Linked DNA regions of Arabidopsis thaliana. The main gene of each other region encodes a partner of the protein of the gene in region 4 in a complex. Links are inferred from orthologs where the notes say so. Each region holds a gene or a part of one and is shown on either strand. Other genes may lie near its edges. The genes, in order: MRL7, FSD3, PTAC12 and PDE312.

Region 1 (4,335 bases), on a different chromosome or scaffold from region 4:
GGTTGTTATGTGTTAATGCCCGGTCCTTGGTAATTTAATATTTTTTTGAATTGCAGATGAAGGAGCATATTGACAGCACAGAAGCCTACGTGAAGATACTACAGAATAGTAGACGTAACGGACTGATCCACCTAATGATGCTTGTGAATATAGGCAATTATGCAATAACTGCAGGGACAGTGGTGGTCAACTTGTTCGGTATGAATATACCAATTGGATTGTATAGCACACCTGACATCTTTGGTTACGTTGTGTGGGCTGTCGTTGCGCTTTGCATTGTGCTTTTCATAGTCACCGTTGGTTACGCCAAGTGGAAGAAGCTACTTGACTGATAAGAGACTAAACACATTAGGTTTAGTCATTATGAGATTAGCTTTGTGGAATTCATTTTTTTTTTAGTTTGCTTTTTCTTATTGATTCAATGCTTTTGTTTTTATGTTATGGATTTTTGCATTAATAGTTTATCCTTCAAACAATTTTTCTATAAAAGGAGCTGGCTTCTTGATATATGTATGCATCATTGGTTACGAATCAACGTGTTAGGGAAAGCACAGATTGACGAGTAAAATCCATTACTTGGGAACAAGTTTATATTTGCATAGAACATACAAAAATGTTAACAATCTATGAGTGAAGTTTATGTAAATTTTCCTAGACTGACCTTTTGAGTGAAACTACTCTATGCCCGTTACAAACTAACAGTACGGGGTTACATTAGCCTTGTCGACACACGAAGGCCTCTTCGCTTTATAGTAGAAATGCGCAATCATATGAACCAATTCATCCGCCGTGCGAAAGTCTGCATCAAGTTCAATACGCTATGATAATCTATTGCTCACACATATTGCAAAAAAACATGAAAACAACGTTAGCAACATAGCTTATCACCTTTCTCCCTGTACAGAATCCGGTTTCCGCGTAAGAAGAGAATCTGTGGGCATTCCTTAGCTTTAAGAGCATATGCCAAATCTGTCTCGATGTTCAGGTCAATCTTAACCGCCTGTTTCATAAAACATGGTGATTCTTGTTAACAGAGAGCAGCCACATTAACATGTAATCACACCAAGAGAGATTAGTACACAAAGAGTAATGTTCAAGTTAAAACTGCAACTAGAGAAGGCTTTCGACATACCCGTGGAGGTAATCGATCTTTCGCATCCCAATAAACTTTGATAGCTTTCTCAAGCTCCTTCAATGTCTTCCAGTTATCACTAGCTCTATAAAACGCACAACAACTCAAAAAATTATTCCAACAGTAGTAGATTTTGGTCACTCTAAGAACAAGTTTCAGTTTTTATACTCATTGCAGTTAATTGATCATGGAATCTAACTCAAATGGCTCTTTCAACTTGTAATCATAGTCTAGATAATGTTGTGAAGGAAAAAGAACAAAGCTTTCATAGTTCTACTATGCACACCAAGTGTTTGTGAAAATTCGTCAATGAAATAACAAAGCTTATACCTTTTGTATCGCTCGAATACAAGGACAACGAGTGGACTAGGATGAAAAGCAAAGCTTTCCCATTCCAAACAATTGATCTCCTTGACCCAACTATCATCAATCTCACCTTCCCAATCAATCTCACTCCCATCATCTCCAACCACGTTTTTGATTGGATGTGTATCGAAATACTCCGAAGCTTTGATTCCCCATCCAACGTCTGTATCTACTGGCCAATCTGGATCTTCCTCTTCCACCACCATCTCTTCTTCTTCTTCCTCTTCTTCATCAACGCCTCTGTCTTTGATGAAATTCGCCTTCTCCTTGTTCTCAAAAACCTCCGGATTCTGCTCCTTTATGGTGGAGAAAGTACGCTCGAGGGAGCTTCTCACGTAATCTTCCACAGCGTCTGCTTCACTCCGCCGCCCACGCTTCGATTTACGCGGGACCTTTGTCGGAAACTTTTCATTGTTCTCGGTTTCAGCAATTGGCGTAACTGCTTCCTTATTTTTGCGACGGGACCGAGTTTGATTTTTGGATTCAGGGTCTAGTACGGAATCAGACGAAACAGCGGCGAAGCGTTTCACGCTCCGGGATGATATAGTCACCGGGAAAACAAATAGTGGGCTGCGATGCATATCAGAGAAGCTCGAATTCAAGCCGGTGAGAAGCATAGAAGATCTTGGCGCGGAGCAAGCAACAGCGAAGAAACTCATTTCTCTCGTTTCCTAAATTCAAAACGAAATTCGCAGAAATTTTTGGTAACTGAGTTTTTGCTCTTATAATCCACTTTGTCTGTATAATCCCGGTTTGGATTATTTCGGTTTGTGTTACTGTCCTTGATTTGGATCGGTTATCTTTCCCGATACTTGGTTTAGTTTATATAATCGAAACAGCGTCGTTTGAAATATTCATAATTTCATATACCTAGCTCCTCGCCTCCGTTAATGAAAAATTTGAAATATTTTTGGCAAATTTTAAAGTTGGATATGTTCTTTTTTTGGCATTTTCCCATTTCGTTATGTGATCACAATATCCATAATGTGATCACAAATTAGAAACATTGATAAAATATGTAAACTTTACATAGTCATAAGATCCTAAAATGGAATATTTTCTGACCTCAAAATGTAAACTCGTTAACAGTACACATACTAGTGTTTAAATATAATTTGTATGCAAGAAGAAGAAGCAGACACGATATGGAGAAGATTATTTTGGGATGCATTGTGTTTTTGTTGGTGTTCTGTGCCGTGTTGATTTGTCGTCTCTTACGTTACCTTTGTGAAAAACGGTGTGAAGAACCTAATAAGGTTTCGCACACACAAGAAAAAGAATCTAATAAGGATGACGTATTAATTCGAGGTACGTCTATTGTCTAACTGTTTTGTTTCGAGCTAATATATAACTTTTCTACAAAGTGAATTTTTCGATTCTATTTCTAATCTTTTAGTATCATGACAGCCTCGAAGACACAAACATATAGACCGCCTCAGGTGACGACGGTGTAGCCCGAAACCCGTAAACAAAAAGAACAACGTCTTTTCTACAATCAATTAAATATTTTTCACTTACCTTCAAGAAAAGTTTTTGTTTTGTGAAATAAAAGAAAAGTTTTTAGTGATTGTTTTTGACATTGTTCTCTTATTGTTTTTATTTTTATCCAAGGTATATTCTTATAAAGTTAATTGTTTGCGGTCTAATTTATTACATAGTACGATCTTTGTCAATGGGTGGAAGATATAAAGAAATTCTTCCTATAGTTTAGAATGTGTGAGTAAGATAAAATCGGAGTTCATAAACTCGATTGCCAAATCTTTGGGGTTAAGAAGGCTCAGTTTAGACGAAATAAATTTATACAAGTTAGAATAGATGATATTGTTAAATTGTTGGATCATATGGAATTCACAAATTAAAGCCTAACACGTGGTCACTGATCACTGGTTTCACATGCATTAAGACTCGTGGCCCATTGAAAACTGCAATGTTTTATTGTATAGTTGGTTCCATGTGTGAATGTAATTTTGTTTTGTGTTTCTTTTATATAGTTTGCATAAAAGCATGTGTTTTTATCTTCTTTATTAATAAGAAGTAAAAGAATTCTCGATTTCTTACACCCAATCTGTTACAGTTACACAGTACACATATATCTTCTTGTAGGTATTTTCATTTTTCAGTGACGTATTAATATTTGTAAAATGGAACTTCGATGACTCAAAATGTAAATATGTGTACTTTCTTTCTTGAACTCTCTTTTATGGACCTCACACCAATTTCATTGAGGTATGCAATACTTTTTCACTGAGGAATATTTTAACGAGTCTACTCATAAATCTCATCATATAAATTTGTTTTGGCATTAAGTTATTTTTATTATTGGTCGTCTCACGTCTGCCATGTTATTATGACATATATTCATAATATATATTAAAGATTGATATGAATATTAACTTACTAAGTATGGATGAGATGTTTTTGATAAATATATCTAAATGATGTAATTAACCATATATTAAACTTCAAATTTGGAAGTTGATTTTCTACATTTTACCAATTGACAGCTAGTTTTATTTATTCAATATCTACTTTCTATACATCCTTATAATGTCCAACTTTATAACCTAAACATCTACCTAACAACTAACAAGAGTCAGTACTCCCTCGATTAGATGTCTCCACACATATTAATAGATTAAAAAATGACAAAAATAATTCAACCTTCAAGATACATAATGTATTTTAAAATTCACTTTTTTCATGTTAATAGTAACAACTATTAGAAATATAAATGGTAAAATATCTAAAACATCTACAATTAAAAACTAACAAATTTAAATGAATCATGATATGTTGTTAATTTCACATGCTCCATCATTTTATATACCACTTTATTA
Region 2 (4,180 bases), on a different chromosome or scaffold from region 4:
AATAAATCTTGTAATCTCTGAGTTATACTAGTATCAGTTTGACCATTTAGCAACCATACAAATGTAATATGAGGACTAACACTACAGTCTTTATGGCACTGAATCTGCCAAAACCCAGGTCCTACATGAACATTGAGATTTTACAGAAAACCCACCAACCAACACAACAATCGCATTGCAAGTTTCATACAAGGATAAATTTCACGAACACAAAGCTTGAAATTGCTTATCTTTAAGAAAATTTTCCCTTTTTACTCACGCAGTTATGGGCACGACTCCTAATCAATTGTAGAAAATTCATAGACGAGGAAATGAACAGAACCTCAAGAGCCCAATCGAAATCGAGAGTTTCCGCGAGAGCGAGTTGGGAAAATCAGGGAATTACCCGATGCTGAGGGAGTTCCACAGAGACGATCGCGTGAAACTTTGACGTTAAGGAGGAAGAAAGTTTATACCTTTACGTTGAAGTGAACGATGGTGTCAATCCCTATTGTCAGGAGACGAAGAAGAAGAAGAAGAAGAAGAAAAGAAAGAAGAGGAAACGGATACTCTCAGTCACGTGCGGGTCACGTGAGCCAGCCTTCGTTTTATTATAACTTAATAAGGGTTAATTGCGTCACTAACATTACTGTCACCATACAGGGCTCACTGATGATCTTAAAGCTAGAGAGTCTCTCAAAAGGCAAAAGAAGAGAAAACTGTCGCTAAATTACACAGAACAAAAAGATGGGTCACATTCAGAAAGCAACTCTTGTTTTGTTGGTTGGGACTTGGGACTTGAGACCTCTGTTTGCAAAAATGAGACTGCCCAAGTTTCCAAGGAGTTGTGTTTAGCTTAAGCGATTGGGATGTTGGGTTCACCAAGATTCACAAACGCTTCTGCACGGGCCATCCGACTCATGGCAGCGTTCCACGACACCAAGTGGTTCAGAAATGTGTTTATATACTTAGCCCTGTCGTTCTAGCAACCGGAGAAAGAAAGAAACAAACACTGATTTAGCCTTTTGAACGAACAAAAAGAACACAGAATGGTCGGAATTTAAGCTAGGTTTTTACCTTGTAGTCCAGATAATAAGAGTGCTGCAAAGTAAGATAAGAAAACGAAAGATATTAGAAAATGTTTCAAAGTGTTTCTTGGAAGAATGACAGAAGAGAGGAGATGGTGTACCTCCCACACATCCACGCAGATGATTGGCTGTAACAACAAAAGAGATGTGATCAAGAGGTAACATTAAGTTCAACAAGAAAACTAACTAATAAAACTCTAACATACAATATCGTCCCACACGAGTGGGTTAATGGCGTTTGAGGTTTTGACCACCTCAAGCCTTCTCTCTTCCCTCTTTACTGAAATTTTCCAGAAAAAAACAAAAAGAGAATCAAAATTTTCCATTTTCAAAGTCATTCTACAGTTTAATACCAAGTGAAAAGCTAGTCAAGTTTCTCACAGACAAGCCAGACCCATCCAGAACCAAACTGAGTAAGAGCTGCATTAGTGAACTTTTCTCTAAAATTTGTGAAAGAACCAAAATCCTTATCAATCTGCTCAAGAACACCCTTTTGAGGCGTGTCTCCACCACCAGGTTGCATCGACTCCCAGAAGAAATCATGGTTATAGACCTAAACAACAACATAATCATCATCAATCCTTCCAACATTAGTGTGTGCCTCGGGTGATAATGTACAAGTTACTTAGAATATAAAGTACCTGTGCAGCGTTGTTGAACTCGGGTAAAGGATTCCCGTTGTTGTATGTAGCCTTGATAAGCTCTTCCATGGTGTATCCATAGAGTCTATCATCTTTCCCTAACTGTTTATTCAGATTATCTACATAACCTCGATGGTGTTTTCCCCAATGCACTTCTAGTGTTCTTCTACTCATATACGGCTCCAAAGCATCCTATTCACATTTGTTTTTAACTCTAATTAGAATCTCAACTATACCATCTTCTTTGACATATCACCAAGGCCCTAAAGATCAAGACACATCTACTTTGCAAGATAGAAGATACACAGATCAAGACACAATCTTTCCTATACTCACAAGACAATTCACCCAAATTAACAAACTTTCTACAGTTCCGTGCTTAGTCGAGAACAGAATTGGATTACAGAAGCAAGACATAGTTACTACACTTAGAATCCAAATACAAATACCAAAGTCTTATTTGCACTTACAAGTGGATAAGGAGGTGTCTTTAGACCGTAGTAAGCTTCAACCTTTAAACCACCTCGAGACCTAAGAGAGCGTCTTCTCTGCTGGTTACTCTATAAGGAAACGAAATTTGAAAGCTTTAGTGCTTAAAAGAGATAGATTCATGTGAAACAGAACCACAGCAATTTCCATGTCACACAAAGAAACGAACCAGATTGAGGAGCTTGGGGGATTTCAAACGTATACTAGAATCTGAAATTGTATAGAAACAGCTTGTCGTCACAACACAAGAACTCATAGTTCCTCCCACTGTTGTCGTCAAAGTCTCACTTCTGCTTCGAAAGACAGAGAGCTACTTCGCACTCTTGGTCTCGCTTTTTCAGAGAAAGGGCCTTCCTTATCAATCTCTTTTCAAACCGGTTAACATATAAGATTTTACCCCGGTTAACTACATTAAACCGGTAAATCGAACCGGAAAGATCAACCTGAAGGAAGCAAGGGTTTTAGCAAATACTCTGACGATCCTTTGTAACCGAACAACAAACAAAAAGCGTATATTTTTCTCTCTATCAAGATTCAAGCCGTGAGCTAGAAGGCTAAAACCCTCTTCTTATAGATTTCAAAGCAACCATTTTCGAACTCTGTTTGATTCCACTGTCGATTTAATCATCTTACCTAATGGCCGGAAGGGCTGCGACGTCGTCGGCGAAATGGGCGAGAGAGTTTTTGTTCAGAAGGGTTTCGTCTAATCCTCTTGGAGCTACCCGTAACTGTTCTTCGGTTCCTGGAGCTTCTTCTGCACCGAAAGTCCCTCATTTTTCCAAGAGAGTGAGTAGCTTTGATGAATTTATTGATAAATTAATCTCATTTTTGGTTTATTCGAATCATATTGGAATCTTATTCCTTAAGATAAGGAGTTGCAACTCTTGTTTTGATCTGAATATGGCACATTAATTGGTGTAGTAGAGTTAGATCATTGATGCTATTTCATTTTACAAGAGCAAAGTGTTTGACTTTGAAAATTTATAGGGAAGGATATTGACAGGAGCTACCATTGGTCTGGCCATAGCTGGAGGAGCTTATGTTAGTACTGCAGATGAAGCAACCTTCTGGTACTTTACTTAATAAGTGCCCTGAAACTTAGTCTTTTTGTTCTCTTTGTTAGTTGACATTGCTAAGGCTACCTTGTAGTTACTTTGAGGAAGTCACTTTGTTTTTTACCTCTTACCTATTTTGTGTGTTGGACAGTGGGTGGCTATTCAACGCAACAAAGGTTGTGAATCCTTTCTTTGCTCTTCTGGATGCTGAGTTTGCGCATAAGCTGGCTGTTTCAGCTGCAGCTCGCGGGTGGGTACCTAGAGAAAAGAGGCCTGATCCAGCAATCTTGGGACTTGAAGTTTGGGGAAGGAAATTCTCAAACCCAATTGGGCTTGCTGCTGGATTTGACAAAAACGCTGAGGCTACTGAGGGACTGCTAGGGATGGGATTTGGCTTTGTTGAGGTAGGCTCTGTAACTCCTGTTCCACAAGAAGGCAATCCGAAACCACGTATCTTCAGACTAAGCCAAGAAGGGTGAGAATCTCTAATCTATAAAAGACCTTCAATGATTGAAGAAGCAAGATAGTTTAAACTAAAAGACTTATATTTTGGTCCTCCCAGAGCTATTATCAATAGGTGTGGATTTAATAGCGAAGGGATTGTTGTCGTTGCAAAGCGGTTGGGTGCTCAACATGGTAAAAGAATGTTGGCTGAAACATCAGCTACTTCGTCATCTCCAAGTGATGATGTAAAACCAGGGGGAAAATCTGGACCTGGTATTCTTGGGGTCAACCTTGGAAAGAACAAGACGAGTGAGGATGCTGCTGCTGACTATGTCCAAGGAGTTCATAACTTATCCCAGTATGCTGATTACTTGGTACAAACTTCTTACCATGATATATCGAACATGAATTTGATCTAATCCACCGTAGAATTCTTTGTTCCTAATTTTCATTTTTCTCTTCAGGTGATCAATGTTTCATCACC
Region 3 (5,373 bases), on a different chromosome or scaffold from region 4:
CCATGGAAGAGTTTCCTCAACTACGCGAAGTTGTTGATCAAGTTGAAAAAGATCCTAGGAATGTTGACATTGTAAGTTTGAAAGAAACAAATCTCCTAAAATCTATAATATGTTTTCATAGTCTCTAATACTATTATATCACACAGGCTTTAGAGTATCTTGGGAAGAGCAAGGGAATACAGAGGGCAAGAGAATTAGCCATGGAACATGCGAATCTAGCAGCAGCTGCAATCGGGTCTCTACCTGAAACAGACAATGAAGATGTCAAAAGATCGAGGCGGGCACTTATTGACTTGACCCATAGAGTCATCACCAGAAACAAGTGAGATTAAGTAATGTTTCTCTCTATACACCAAAACATTCCTCATTTCATTTGTAGGATTTTGTTGGTCCAATTCGTTTCACGAAACAATAATGTTTGACAAGCTGTGGCTTTGGTTTTAAACTACACATGACAAAAAAAGGAGACAGATACTAATTGTGAAATCATATTCCTTGCGAATTCGGTTTAGGTCTTGTTTTAACAGATTAAACCGTCTCAAGCTGAACTAAACAGGATGCAGTACAGTTAACAAATCACTTTCAAAACTCTATAAATTCAATCAAAAATATTTGAATTCCATATGATACAAATCACTTGCAAAACTCAAATCCACTCCTAAATGATATCATCCCTTCCAAGTATACAAGCAAAACCAGTGAAGAAAAAGTTGCCCTAAATAACGTCTTTACATAAGAAATACGAAAACCAGGTTTAAGGATCAGTCTCCTCTTCAAAGTCCATGAGAAAATCAGTTAAGTTCTCAGCATCATCCACGGCCTCGTCTAGAGACATCCGACCTTCCTTCTTTGGTTTAGGCTGTTTAAGAAACCAAGCTCATAACATCAACACACCACACAAGACATATAATGTGGCTCAAGTTGAATGTGACTTTACCTTGGCGGTGCGAAGCTCAGGGGTTTCCTTCAAGACACTCCAGTTCCTCGGCACTTTCTCGTCGTCTTTTTCTACATCTGCATCGTCTTCGTCGTCCTGTCAAAAAATGTCCGGAGATGTTTCAGAGCATGATACATCAAGAAACAATAAAGAAGAAGAGGATCTGATGTAATCGATGATACTCACATCGTTTTCACCAATATCAACAGCTTGTGCCATTGCATCATCCATGTCAGGTACCTGCATTCATACAATTTATCGAACATATCAAGCGAAACCCTGAAATCTCACAATCAGAGTTGTGTCAAAGGAAATGAAAGATTGGTCACTTTACCTCGAGCTGCTCGGTTTTCTCTTTTGTCAGTAGTGCTTCATGCATCTCTCTTGAGATGACTTTGCCATTCTGATCAAATCAGAAACAAAGAAAACAATCAGACCAAGAAAGAAAAAGAATAGAACTTTGAGCAAAGCAGACTAACCTCCTTTAGATAAGAGAGCATATTTGGTGTAGGCTCATGAAAATCAGGTCCTCTGAAATCCATAACCGCATTAGGATCTTGAATGTAGTTAATTGTCGGGTAAACTGGATCCCCGCCCCAAACTGCAAGAAACCGAGAATGTTAGTCGAACGATTGAATATCCATGATGAGTTAGTTCAAACTTCAACGGTCAAAGTTTCTTACTTTGCTTAATTTGATCCTCCCTCATCCGCATTGCCAATGGATCTCTCTTGATCCTAATATCAGTTCCCATCATTATCCGGTATTCTCTATCTGTTTGATGAGAGAACATCTCAATCAGTTGTGTGTTTTCATCTTCACCTGTCTCTTCAAAATGTTTTTGTACAGCTTCTCTTGACGTGTCTCTCTTCCATGCTTTAACCCATTCAGAATAAAAAGCCATTGGACCTTCTTTCGCTAATCTCTCTCGCTCAGCTTGCAGCCTGAGAGAAAGAAAACTCGAAAGAAAATCCTAATAAAACAGATTTTCACTTGAAAGTTCGTTAGATCAATATACCTCTCTTCCTTGAAAAGATGCCTTCTTGCTCTATAAAGAGAAGTTTCTGTGAGTGTTGGTTCTTCCCCATAGAGCTTCACTTGTCCTGTTTCTGCCATTGCCTTGAGGAAAACCTGCATCAACAACAAAAAAAAATACCATAATGGATCAAACATTGGGGAAACACACACATGTTTAAACCTGAAATCATTGTGATGACTAACCGTTTCAACATCAGGACGTCTTCTTTGCCATCTTGACCATTGTTCTTTCTCCGGTTTCCTCCAGTTCCACCACGATTCATCGCTCGTGAGTGTCTTTTCAATTTGTTTCTTTTTCGTAGGATCAATGAAAGGATGTGGCCTTCCAAGCTTTTTGTCTAATTCAAAACCAGTCTCCTCTTCTTCTCTCTCAAATTCATTCTTATAGGTAACAAACCCATCCGAGGAATCATTTTCCTCTTCTTCAGAGCTATCCTCAGAATCGGATACTTCGTCATTCGTTTCAACAGTCACATTCTCCTCAGTAGCTTTCCTATTCTTCTTTCTCCTACTTCCAGGATTCTTTCCATAGGAAGGAAAACTCGAAGACTCACCAGCTGGTTGAGGAGCTCTAGCAGCTCTAACCCGGCTCGAAGTTCCTTCAGGCCAATAATCCTCACCTGGAATACTAGCCCGAGCCCCGGACGCTGGCTCAAGCTTCCCAGAAGTTGAATCCATATAACTATGGTAAGGATGCCTCTCAACAGTCACATACTCAAATCCTTCTTCACTCTTCTTAGACCCTTCACTTACATCACCATCTCCATCCTCTTTCTTGCATTTGATACAATGTCGCAAAGACCGATCCCTAGAAGTAATCCCAGCATGCAATGTCTTGAGTGGAAACCCACATTTAACCCGTCTCTACATACATAAACAAACTTTTACCAGTTTGACATCTTGAAACAAGCTAAAATGTTCACTATCTCTAAATTAGATAAGTTTGGATCAGAACAAGAAACTTGATGTGTAAGAACCAACCTGCACAATACAATTACTGGACTTTCCACTGTCTGTGCATACTTGACCTCGGTAGAGCCAGGTGGTGGTTGATATTGACGCCATTTACACTCTTTCTACTTCTCACTGTATCATTTACAAAAACAACCGATTCAATTATGCTCAGAATCAGTTTCAAACTAGTACAAAACATAAAACCCAGATAAGAAGAACCTGATACAACAAATTGTCCATAACAAGGTACGATTTTTTTGGGCATTTTTACAAACGCTTCACACTCGAAGTTGAGGAGAAAAAGACTAACCTTTTTGTTTTACCAGGAGATTATGTAGGAAGAGGGTTTTCTATCATGGAGCTTGATTTTGAAGGGGGTTTTGGCTTCAAAAGGTTTTCACTTGTCAGTTTTTGGGTTTATCCATTTATCTCCTCCTGCGTTTATTAACATATTCTGGTGACGGCAAAATCTCTAGATTTCACGACGCGCCGGTATTAGAACGGGAATTTGTGAAGAGAAAGTATATGGGCTTGGTATATCTAACTAAGGCCCAGTATTAATGGATCTTTGAGAAATTGTGAGCTTGAAGTCTCTCTTGGGCTTTAACAAACACTTCCAAGAAGAACAAAACATCTTTTTCTTTTTTGGCAAAACATCTTCTAAACAGTTTATTATATTGATATACTTTCAAATAAAATCAATATGTGATTTGATCATTTAAAACATGCCTTAACACAAAAGATATATGGAAGAATGTTTATCGAAGTATGCATGTGAACACATCTTAGTTTTGTTAATAGATTTGCAATTTACAATTGCGATTATACAATTTTTAGATAGTTCTCTCCGTAATGGATTAATATAGTGGACTAGAGGAACATGTTACACAAAAAACATCAATCATTGTACCTTTAAGTGAATAAATACTTGTATATGATTTGTACTTCAGCGTGTGTACGTACTTGTCTAAGACACTATAGAAGGAAGAAGGTTTGGACCCAACGTGAATGGCAATTGGCTAATGTGCTAATATGGTCTGAACCAATATTAAATGGGTCTGACCAGACACATCATAGACATTACGGTATCTATCACAGGCCTATTTTAACCTAATATCCTACACTTTTTATACATTAATACTACTATTGCTTACTTCAAACTTGCTAAACGACGATAATATTTATTTCTAGGGACCAAACATATAATTGTTTTTTTGGTTTTCTGAAATTTGGCAGACGTAGACCACGTAAGACTATACCACAAAGGTCTGACTAGGCACAAGTTTCGCTGACCCGCACGCGCCTAACGTCACCTTTTGAACTATTCGTGCAACGAGCGAGACTATCCATGCGGCGTCGTTTTTTCCCAACTTCCTCTTCCTCTCGTATTGTCAAACGGTCAAACCTATACTCCTACATAAGAAAAAAAGAATCAGCAGCATATAATAGCAACATTTGAAACTTCATAAGCATATATAAAGCTAGAGATGCAAACTAAAGACAAACAATATAGCAGTTTCGAATTATATAATAGATACAATAAATAAAAAAATAAAAAAAGAATAACAACCTTTTATCAAAAATAATACTGTAATAATAATAATTTGGATACTATTACTATCTTTTCGAGTTTGCTATTTTACATAAAACAATATGTCAGGGAAAAGAATCTCAAAGCACTAAAAAAAACTGTAATTTGATGCTTTTGGTGACCGTTAATAAATGAGTGGCTAATTGGAAATCTCGTCAAACTTTTTCTGCGACATAATTCACTTCCACAAGTAATTGGAACAGAATCTCACAAGTGGCGACGTGTACTTACCTCCACATGGCACCTATCCGTTCGCTAAAAATATACTCCATGTATAGATGTGTGTAATATTACATGTGTATAAAAGCGACGACGAGGATAATCACCTCGATGAGTATTTGAGTAGATGTGGACTTGTCATGAACATTTTAGCAGAGAGACAATGCATGCATACAAACAGAGAACTAACAAATTTCTTTAGTTTTTTACCATTCGTAACTTAAAAAGTTTATTCTTTATTTACTTGTAATACACTTTTGTTAAATGTTACATAGAATAATCTCCGATTTATACATTATTTGATCAGTGATCATAGTTACTAGTATCTATTAGTTTATGGTATGTTTTGCCACTGTTGTTCAACAATGTTGCAATTCTTACAAAATTCTTGAATCAACATTCTTTTTAACAATCAACTATCGGTTAAAAATATGAACTAATAGTATATGAGCTGCTGGTATGTTTTTCTACCAAAAATCAGATATTTTTCTTTGTTTATTGCATTATGATTAATCTAAACACTAACTAAAATTAGTAGTATTATTACTGATGAAATAAAACAAAGGAGTGGTGGGGCAGAGGGAGGACAAGAACGGGACAGTGGCATAAATCAGACTGGTGAAGCTGTCCCTTGT
Region 4 (5,926 bases):
GAGCATATACAACTCGGAGCACCTCTTTTCTCTCGCTCTCTTCCTCTTCAAGGTTTATATTTATAACTTCTTTTGCTGCTCTCAACGAACTCTTCCAGGCTAATAAACCGTCTCTGTTTTCATCTTCTCCGTAGCTGAGATAGCTCCATACCCTCTCCGACCCAAGTAAACTGATTTTCCATGTTATGGAGATTTGGTTCTCTAACTTATTGCTTTAGAGTTTTGATGTCATTGTACAAGTTTAATGCTATTATTTTTGTGAATTAGGTACAACCTTGCAGAGTAGCTTTGGTAAGAGTTTGCCTTAAGAGTTTTGTCATCAAAGAGCACACATGGTGTGAAGTTTTTGGTATACACGGAGAGATGACAAGGGTTTTTGATATTCCAGGTACGAACGAGAAAGCCTTTTGATAGAAGTTGATGTTTTGGAGCCCAAACAGAAGAAACAAGAGAAACATTTAGGCGTATTTTGCGGTGTCAAGACTACCTTCTCTGACGACGATTGATAGAAAAAACAAAAAACGTCACGTTCCTAACGTTCAACGGTGTACTACAAGATCCCAAACGTCTGGCTAAGTTAATAAGAAACTGATTTTACTATCTCCGGGATAAGAAGAAATGAAAAAAAAAAACTATCAAATAGATCAAACCTAACAGACAAAAATTCAAATAAATCAACCTCGACAATTTCTTATTTTTACTTTCCTTTTAAACATCAGTCTGTCAAGACTTGAGTACCGTTAACAAGAGGTTGCTGTTCCGAGTAACCGATACTGCTCTCATCACTCAGAATGCTATAGTCAAAATCGTCAAAATCATCGTCATCCTCTTCTTCTTCCTCTGACTCTGTTTCTTCTTCTTGACTCGCCAAGGTAGACCCTTCTTTTCTTTTCTCTATTGTCTGCTTAATCGCATCATCGTAAGACATGTCATACCACACATTGCCTTTCCCAACAATGGATTTGTTGTGTGCATCCTTCATTCTCTCTTGCTTGCTAATCTCTGAGTTCTTTGGCTCTCCCCAGTAGTCATACTGATATAATGCACTTGTTGGATCGTACTGGTCTTTCCCAAAGAAGCTTCCTGGCTTGTACCTCCCTGGTTCCTCCAATGGTAAACCAAGTGCTTGCCGACTGCAAAATAAATCTTCTTCATCTAAACACTTTCTTTGAAAAACATCAAAGTGAACTTTTTTTTACTTACGAGCTGATATCTCTGAGCAATGCTTCTCTTTCCTCCAAAGATCGGCGCCAGTGTAAGAAATCATACTCGTCCATCTCTATATTTCGTCTGAGCTTGTCAATTTTGTATCCTTCTCCTCTTGCTTTAGCTTCCATCATTAGTTTATTGTGGTGCTGCACAAGACAACAGGAGAGTATTGAGTTATTAACCACTATCAGTATAAAAGATTCATACAACAATGTGTCAATTACAAAGTGCAAAGCCTTAAAATGGAACTGTGACGACAATCGGAGTTACCAAGACAGTGTGAAGTGGAAATCTATTAAAAATAAACAAATACAAACGAGAATATTTCCGTAGCAGTGGGTTAAAGGAAATTGGTGACGACAAGTAGGGAAGAGAATTTAAACCTGGCGCTCGGTCAATGCAGCCTCTAAGTCAAGTTCCTTGACACTGGTTTTCTGCCAGAAATAGAACACATTTAATCACAAAGCTTAAGACAGTATGGTTTCACGAACACACCAGAAGAAACTCTCACCAGAATCACTTTTGGCAATTTGGTTTTCTTATAATAAGCTTCGCCATACTCGATATCCTTTTGTTCATCAAAGTCTTCATCATCAGATAATTCTGATAGCTTTTTGCCTTCGTATTTTGCAGGGTTAGCTTCGTAATCACCCAAAATCATTTGCTCAGCTACATGTATCTGCCACAACTGCAAACGGGAAAGAAATGTGTTGACGGTTTCACAAAATTTAGAAAGCCAATAAACCTAATGAGTAAACAAAGCAAAAATCACATAACCAACCCTTTTGCTCAGGAAAATACCTTGTCGACATAAGGGTGATCAGAGAGCAGCCCTTCCTCCTCTGGCTTTGATCCTGGATCTTTTCTAGGTTCAGGAGGTCTTCCACAATCTCGCTGTACAAACAATGTATTAGATAAGAGGGAGACTCTTCACGAGAACACGAAATGGATTGATATTCTAGGAAAGGATTCTACTGACCCGTATCTCATCTGGATTAGTATCCCCATCACGATGGAATATTGGTGGGAAGTCAAATTTATTAAATCTGGAGCAGGAATGTAAAAACAGTCAACACATATACCATAACCAAGACCATTGAGGACAGAACCAAAATGCCAATTTTTACTGGATATGTAAAGAGAATTAAATACGTGTGAATTACATACATCATGTGATCTATGTTAGGATGGACGAAGCGCAACTCCAAGGGAAACCGAAACCGGTATGGATCTCTTTTTGCCTGAAAGAACAAAAGAAAAAGGAGAATGAAGCAATTTCCATTCAGATTTTTATAAATGCGAAAGAAGAATATGTGCCTTAAGATTACCGTGATTTCAACGATAACATGCATCCCAACTTTTATGAAATGCCGGATCCAAAACCAGTCATTACCTTTTATAGGTACCCATCTGCAAACCAATAGACACATAAACTTACATCTTTCAAAAAAAGCATATGAAACAAGAGACAACATTATATTACGTTATATACCCTAAATACAAGAACCACGGTAAGTCTATCTTTACAAAGTAAAGAGACATAAACATACCCTTCATGAACACCTCCAATGTCAACAAACGCTCCCTGATACAGATGTAAAGTGGTAACTGTGCCTTCACAAACCTGCATGGACATTACGATATTGCTCATTTAAACCAATCATTAGTTACAATATACAAGGCTTAGAATAAGAATTCTTACCATCCCTGGATAGTAAAAGGGAAGCTCATACTGCACAAAGAAAAATAAAGCAATTAACTTACAAACAGTTCATCATCTAGCAAACTAATCAAACAATCAAATCCAGTAGCATAATAATATTTACCATCCCATCTTCGTAATCCTTCCCTCTTTTCCTCCTACCCGGATAAAAATCCTGATCGAGCTGTATAAATAAAAACATCATCTTTATTAGAATCCTTCTCTTAGCCACCACTAAGCTAACAATATCTCATTGTTCAAAAAAAAAAACGAACCTTGTAAGATTCTTCCTCCAACCTATCTTTATTATCTTCAACCCATTCCTTGTATTGTTTCAAGAAAACCTTAAACCTCTCCAAACACATCTTATCAACAGTAGCATCTTCACCAACTCTCAAATCCTTATCCAAATCCTCAAGCCAAACTCTTTCAGCCATTAACTTATGAGCTTCCCTAATAAACTCCAGCTCCTTCCTATCAACTTCCCAACCTCTGGGAGGCCAATCACGCGGCGGAATTTGCCTAAGAACCATCGGACCAGCCCAAGATGTTTCTAAAGGAGGTGGTTTATCACCTCTAATCTCAAATTGCTTTGCATACCATTCGTCTTCTGTTATCCCCATCTCCTTAATCTTCTTCTTCCTATACGATGGTCTCAGCATCTTAAACGCTTCGATCGCTTCCGGCGATTGAAGCGGAACTTCTTCACCTTCGTTGAGAGATTTACGAGCGAAATCAGCTTCTGGTGTGAGAATCTCTTCCCATGGAGCCCAACCACGTTCGATCCAGTTACGTCGTCGAGCTTCATCTTCTGTGTCTTTGTCCTTTGGTCCGAATTTCTCGAGGAAGGTTTCGTCGACTGGGAATTCATCGGAGCTGAATCCACGACAAGGCAGCAAGGATATGCGACGAGGCGGTGACCATTGAAGAGCTTTGGGTTTGCAGAAATTAGGGTTTGTGGGATTAGGGAAAGTGAAATTGAGCTTGGTTTGGCAAATCTGCATGATTCATTCGTCACTCTTCAGGGTTTTTGAAGGTTTAAGAGAGAGTGAAGAAGTTGAGTATGGATAAGCTTTATTTCATTTTACAGTGAAGAAGAAATGTTAAGTTTTTTTTGATGAACCCTTATATTTATCCAATATATTGTTTTGACCCCAAATGTTTTTGATTGATCAGTTAGACCCATTTTAATATAAGGTTTAGACGTTTAGTTATGGATGAACCCCTACATGACCAGTACTATCAACACCGTTGGTTAAAGATCATAAAGCTTGTTTAGGCTAAAGTAATAAACACATGATTGAGAGATGTTTTGATACAGGCATCTATATAGACTCCTTACTAACAATGTAGTTAAATTGTACATAATCAAAGTACAACACACATGAACTTGGGATACATTTGTTTACAAATCATTCCTGAGTCTCTGTCTTCATGTTTCGTGCTTGAGCTTGATTCTTGTACTTGCTAAACATGGATAGTACTGATGGGTTCTTGCTCTTTATCTGTTTCGAGCTTTCACACGAGTCTATAGCCATTGCATCATGAGTGTCTCCTAATTGTGTATCCGAAGACAAGACATGAGACGATGATGTTGATGACAGATTCTCTTCACCTTCTGTTTCTGATGAAGTAGTGTCCTGTCTTGTTGACCCTTGCTTAAGTTTCAACAGTGTTGACTCTACAATGCCATCAAAAGAAACCAAGGATTTCAAAACCTAGAGATTTCTATTGGACAATCAGAATCACATGAAAATGGAAAGAGTGTGTATTTATTATACCGTAGACGGAGAGAGGATCGTCTTTGATGATCTTCGCCGGATATCTCTCCAGACAATCCGGCGGCGACGGCGGTGGTCTCAGCCTCCCAAACATACGTCTCTCTCTCTCTCTCTCGAGTCAATTAGATCTGATCGTCTTCTTTGAATTGACAATCTGAAAGATGACAACATATAATCGATTCTTTGTGTTTTGGCGCCTCGATCGATAAAAAAGAGCGGGAACCTGAGACCAACAACGGCCCAAATAAATGCTGTTATAATGGGCCCTTCGCTCTTATTATGATTTTATCATTAATCACGTTTTTCATTATTATAAACCAAAAAAACTTTTTATATAAAATAACTAAAATAGATAAAATTTCCATCAAATCTAGTATTAATAGAGAAAATATATTAAACGTAAATATTGTTTAGGATATTAACTTTTTATTTATGAACTTGTTTTAGGATAATTGATTATTTCAGAAAATTACAATACTAAATAGCATGAAAAGATATAATTTGATCAAATCTCTTACTGTTTATTATGTACACATATATTAAATTTATAATCTACTTTTTTTTTACATACCATTATGTTACGTAGATTTATCAGCAAAAGCTAGATATTATTGAGAAATAAATTTATGTGAAATTCAGTATTTAAATACACCTTAGTAAATCCCAATAACACATATGAATAAGAATATGTTTCTTCACAGATGATCTATGGACAATTATACTTGCACAATTACCACTAAAAATGATCACGACTTCTAAACTGGTTTGTAAGCAGTGGAAATCTATTATCGAGTCTCCACATTTTCGTGTCATGTTCATGTCTCTGCACCATTCTTCTTCATGGTCGCTCATGTGTAGGCGTTACAAGATAGAACTTGTGGCTCATCATAGATGCAACACTTGGGGATTTAATCGTACCAGTACTCTTACATCTCGTCTTTTATGACCGATAAATTCGAAATGAACATATACCGAGAAGCCAAAGTTGTTCCTTACAACACCGATATGGGGTTTATTTTGATCGATGTCGAGTCTATCCTCAGGATCAATCGTTATACCTAGCTAATCCAATTTCACATCAATGCTTAGAAATCAATCGTCGTGCTCTCGAGCATAATTTTTTCTGTCCCTTGGGAATAGTAACACAAACTAAAAACGGCGTCGTTTTGAGTTACAAAGTTGTTATGTTTGATGAAAGGCAAAAAAGATCCATAATAACGAAAATAAGTTTTCA

What was found.
Region 1: PDE312 (region 4) and MRL7 share a complex: the UniProt entries of both Arabidopsis thaliana proteins name them as parts of the transcriptionally active chromosome (TAC) complex.
Region 2: the proteins of PDE312 (region 4) and FSD3 are in contact, whole or in part, in a cryo-EM structure (PDB 8XZV), measured with the Spinacia oleracea proteins. The link is inferred for Arabidopsis thaliana from one-to-one orthologs. Residues at the interface, in XP_021866326.1 of Spinacia oleracea: Arg80, Lys81, Trp84, Val85, Trp89, Pro91, Glu156, Leu158, Arg177, Asp178, Arg188, Glu192, Arg195, His198, Lys199, Ala202, Arg204, Tyr276, Pro277, Tyr314, Trp315, Glu329, Leu331, Arg346, Asp353, His354, Leu355, Leu356, Phe357, Arg359; in XP_021853685.1 of Spinacia oleracea: Tyr59, Tyr60, Gly61, Leu62, Lys63, Lys64, Pro65, Pro66, Leu100, Asp104, Leu106, Tyr107, Gly108, His109, Thr110, Lys116, Val117, Tyr119, Asn120, Tyr121, Gly122, Asn123, Glu142, Lys194, Ser204, Asn205, Arg258, Gln260, Ala261, Phe262.
Region 3: PDE312 (region 4) and PTAC12 share a complex: the UniProt entries of both Arabidopsis thaliana proteins name them as parts of the transcriptionally active chromosome (TAC) complex.

The regions. Positions count from the first base shown.
Region 1 is NC_003075.7:14,124,672-14,129,006, forward strand, and holds MRL7 (polyadenylate-binding protein 2-binding protein), read right to left. Parts: upstream 2,412-4,335; 5' UTR 2,158-2,411; coding exon 1,463-2,157; intron 1,218-1,462; coding exon 1,133-1,217; intron 1,001-1,132; coding exon 889-1,000; intron 800-888; coding exon 696-799; 3' UTR 541-695; downstream 1-540. Other genes in the region: MGT5 (magnesium transport 5), read left to right, coding at 57-332. UniProt on the Arabidopsis thaliana protein: Plays an essential role in early steps of chloroplast development. Involved in the regulation of plastid gene expression. May positively regulate plastid-encoded RNA polymerase (PEP) activity through binding to FSD3 and CITRX/TRXZ.
Region 2 is NC_003076.8:7,848,897-7,853,076, reverse strand, and holds FSD3 (Fe superoxide dismutase 3), read right to left. Parts: upstream 2,634-4,180; 5' UTR 2,454-2,633; coding exon 2,367-2,453; intron 2,269-2,366; coding exon 2,179-2,268; intron 1,901-2,178; coding exon 1,709-1,900; intron 1,621-1,708; coding exon 1,449-1,620; intron 1,348-1,448; coding exon 1,274-1,347; intron 1,196-1,273; coding exon 1,169-1,195; intron 1,081-1,168; coding exon 1,057-1,080; intron 962-1,056; coding exon 836-961; 3' UTR 543-835; downstream 1-542. Other genes in the region: PYRD (pyrimidine d), read left to right, coding at 2,834-2,983, 3,185-3,267, 3,404-3,727, 3,815-4,070, 4,161-4,180. UniProt on the Arabidopsis thaliana protein: Destroys superoxide anion radicals which are normally produced within the cells and which are toxic to biological systems. Plays important role in chloroplast development, particularly in the maintenance of thylakoids membranes.
Region 3 is NC_003071.7:14,581,307-14,586,679, forward strand, and holds PTAC12 (plastid transcriptionally active 12), read right to left. Parts: upstream 3,492-5,373; 5' UTR 3,239-3,491; intron 3,061-3,238; 5' UTR 3,040-3,060; coding exon 2,956-3,039; intron 2,839-2,955; coding exon 2,158-2,838; intron 2,068-2,157; coding exon 1,955-2,067; intron 1,881-1,954; coding exon 1,621-1,880; intron 1,539-1,620; coding exon 1,417-1,538; intron 1,341-1,416; coding exon 1,272-1,340; intron 1,178-1,271; coding exon 1,124-1,177; intron 1,034-1,123; coding exon 938-1,033; intron 860-937; coding exon 755-859; 3' UTR 529-754; downstream 1-528. Other genes in the region: GPS1 (geranyl diphosphate synthase 1), read left to right, coding at 1-71, 147-326. UniProt on the Arabidopsis thaliana protein: Involved in plastid gene expression. Acidic transcriptional coactivator necessary for the transactivation of many PIFs target genes (class B genes), particularly during the regulation of hypocotyl growth.
Region 4 is NC_003074.8:17,960,198-17,966,123, reverse strand, and holds PDE312 (Nucleic acid-binding, OB-fold-like protein), read right to left. Parts: upstream 3,962-5,926; 5' UTR 3,916-3,961; coding exon 3,187-3,915; intron 3,096-3,186; coding exon 3,036-3,095; intron 2,942-3,035; coding exon 2,912-2,941; intron 2,834-2,911; coding exon 2,760-2,833; intron 2,620-2,759; coding exon 2,377-2,619; intron 2,256-2,376; coding exon 2,189-2,255; intron 2,104-2,188; coding exon 2,011-2,103; intron 1,898-2,010; coding exon 1,721-1,897; intron 1,644-1,720; coding exon 1,593-1,643; intron 1,356-1,592; coding exon 1,204-1,355; intron 1,134-1,203; coding exon 716-1,133; 3' UTR 511-715; downstream 1-510. Other genes in the region: AT3G48490 (uncharacterized protein), read right to left, coding at 4,324-4,592, 4,693-4,786.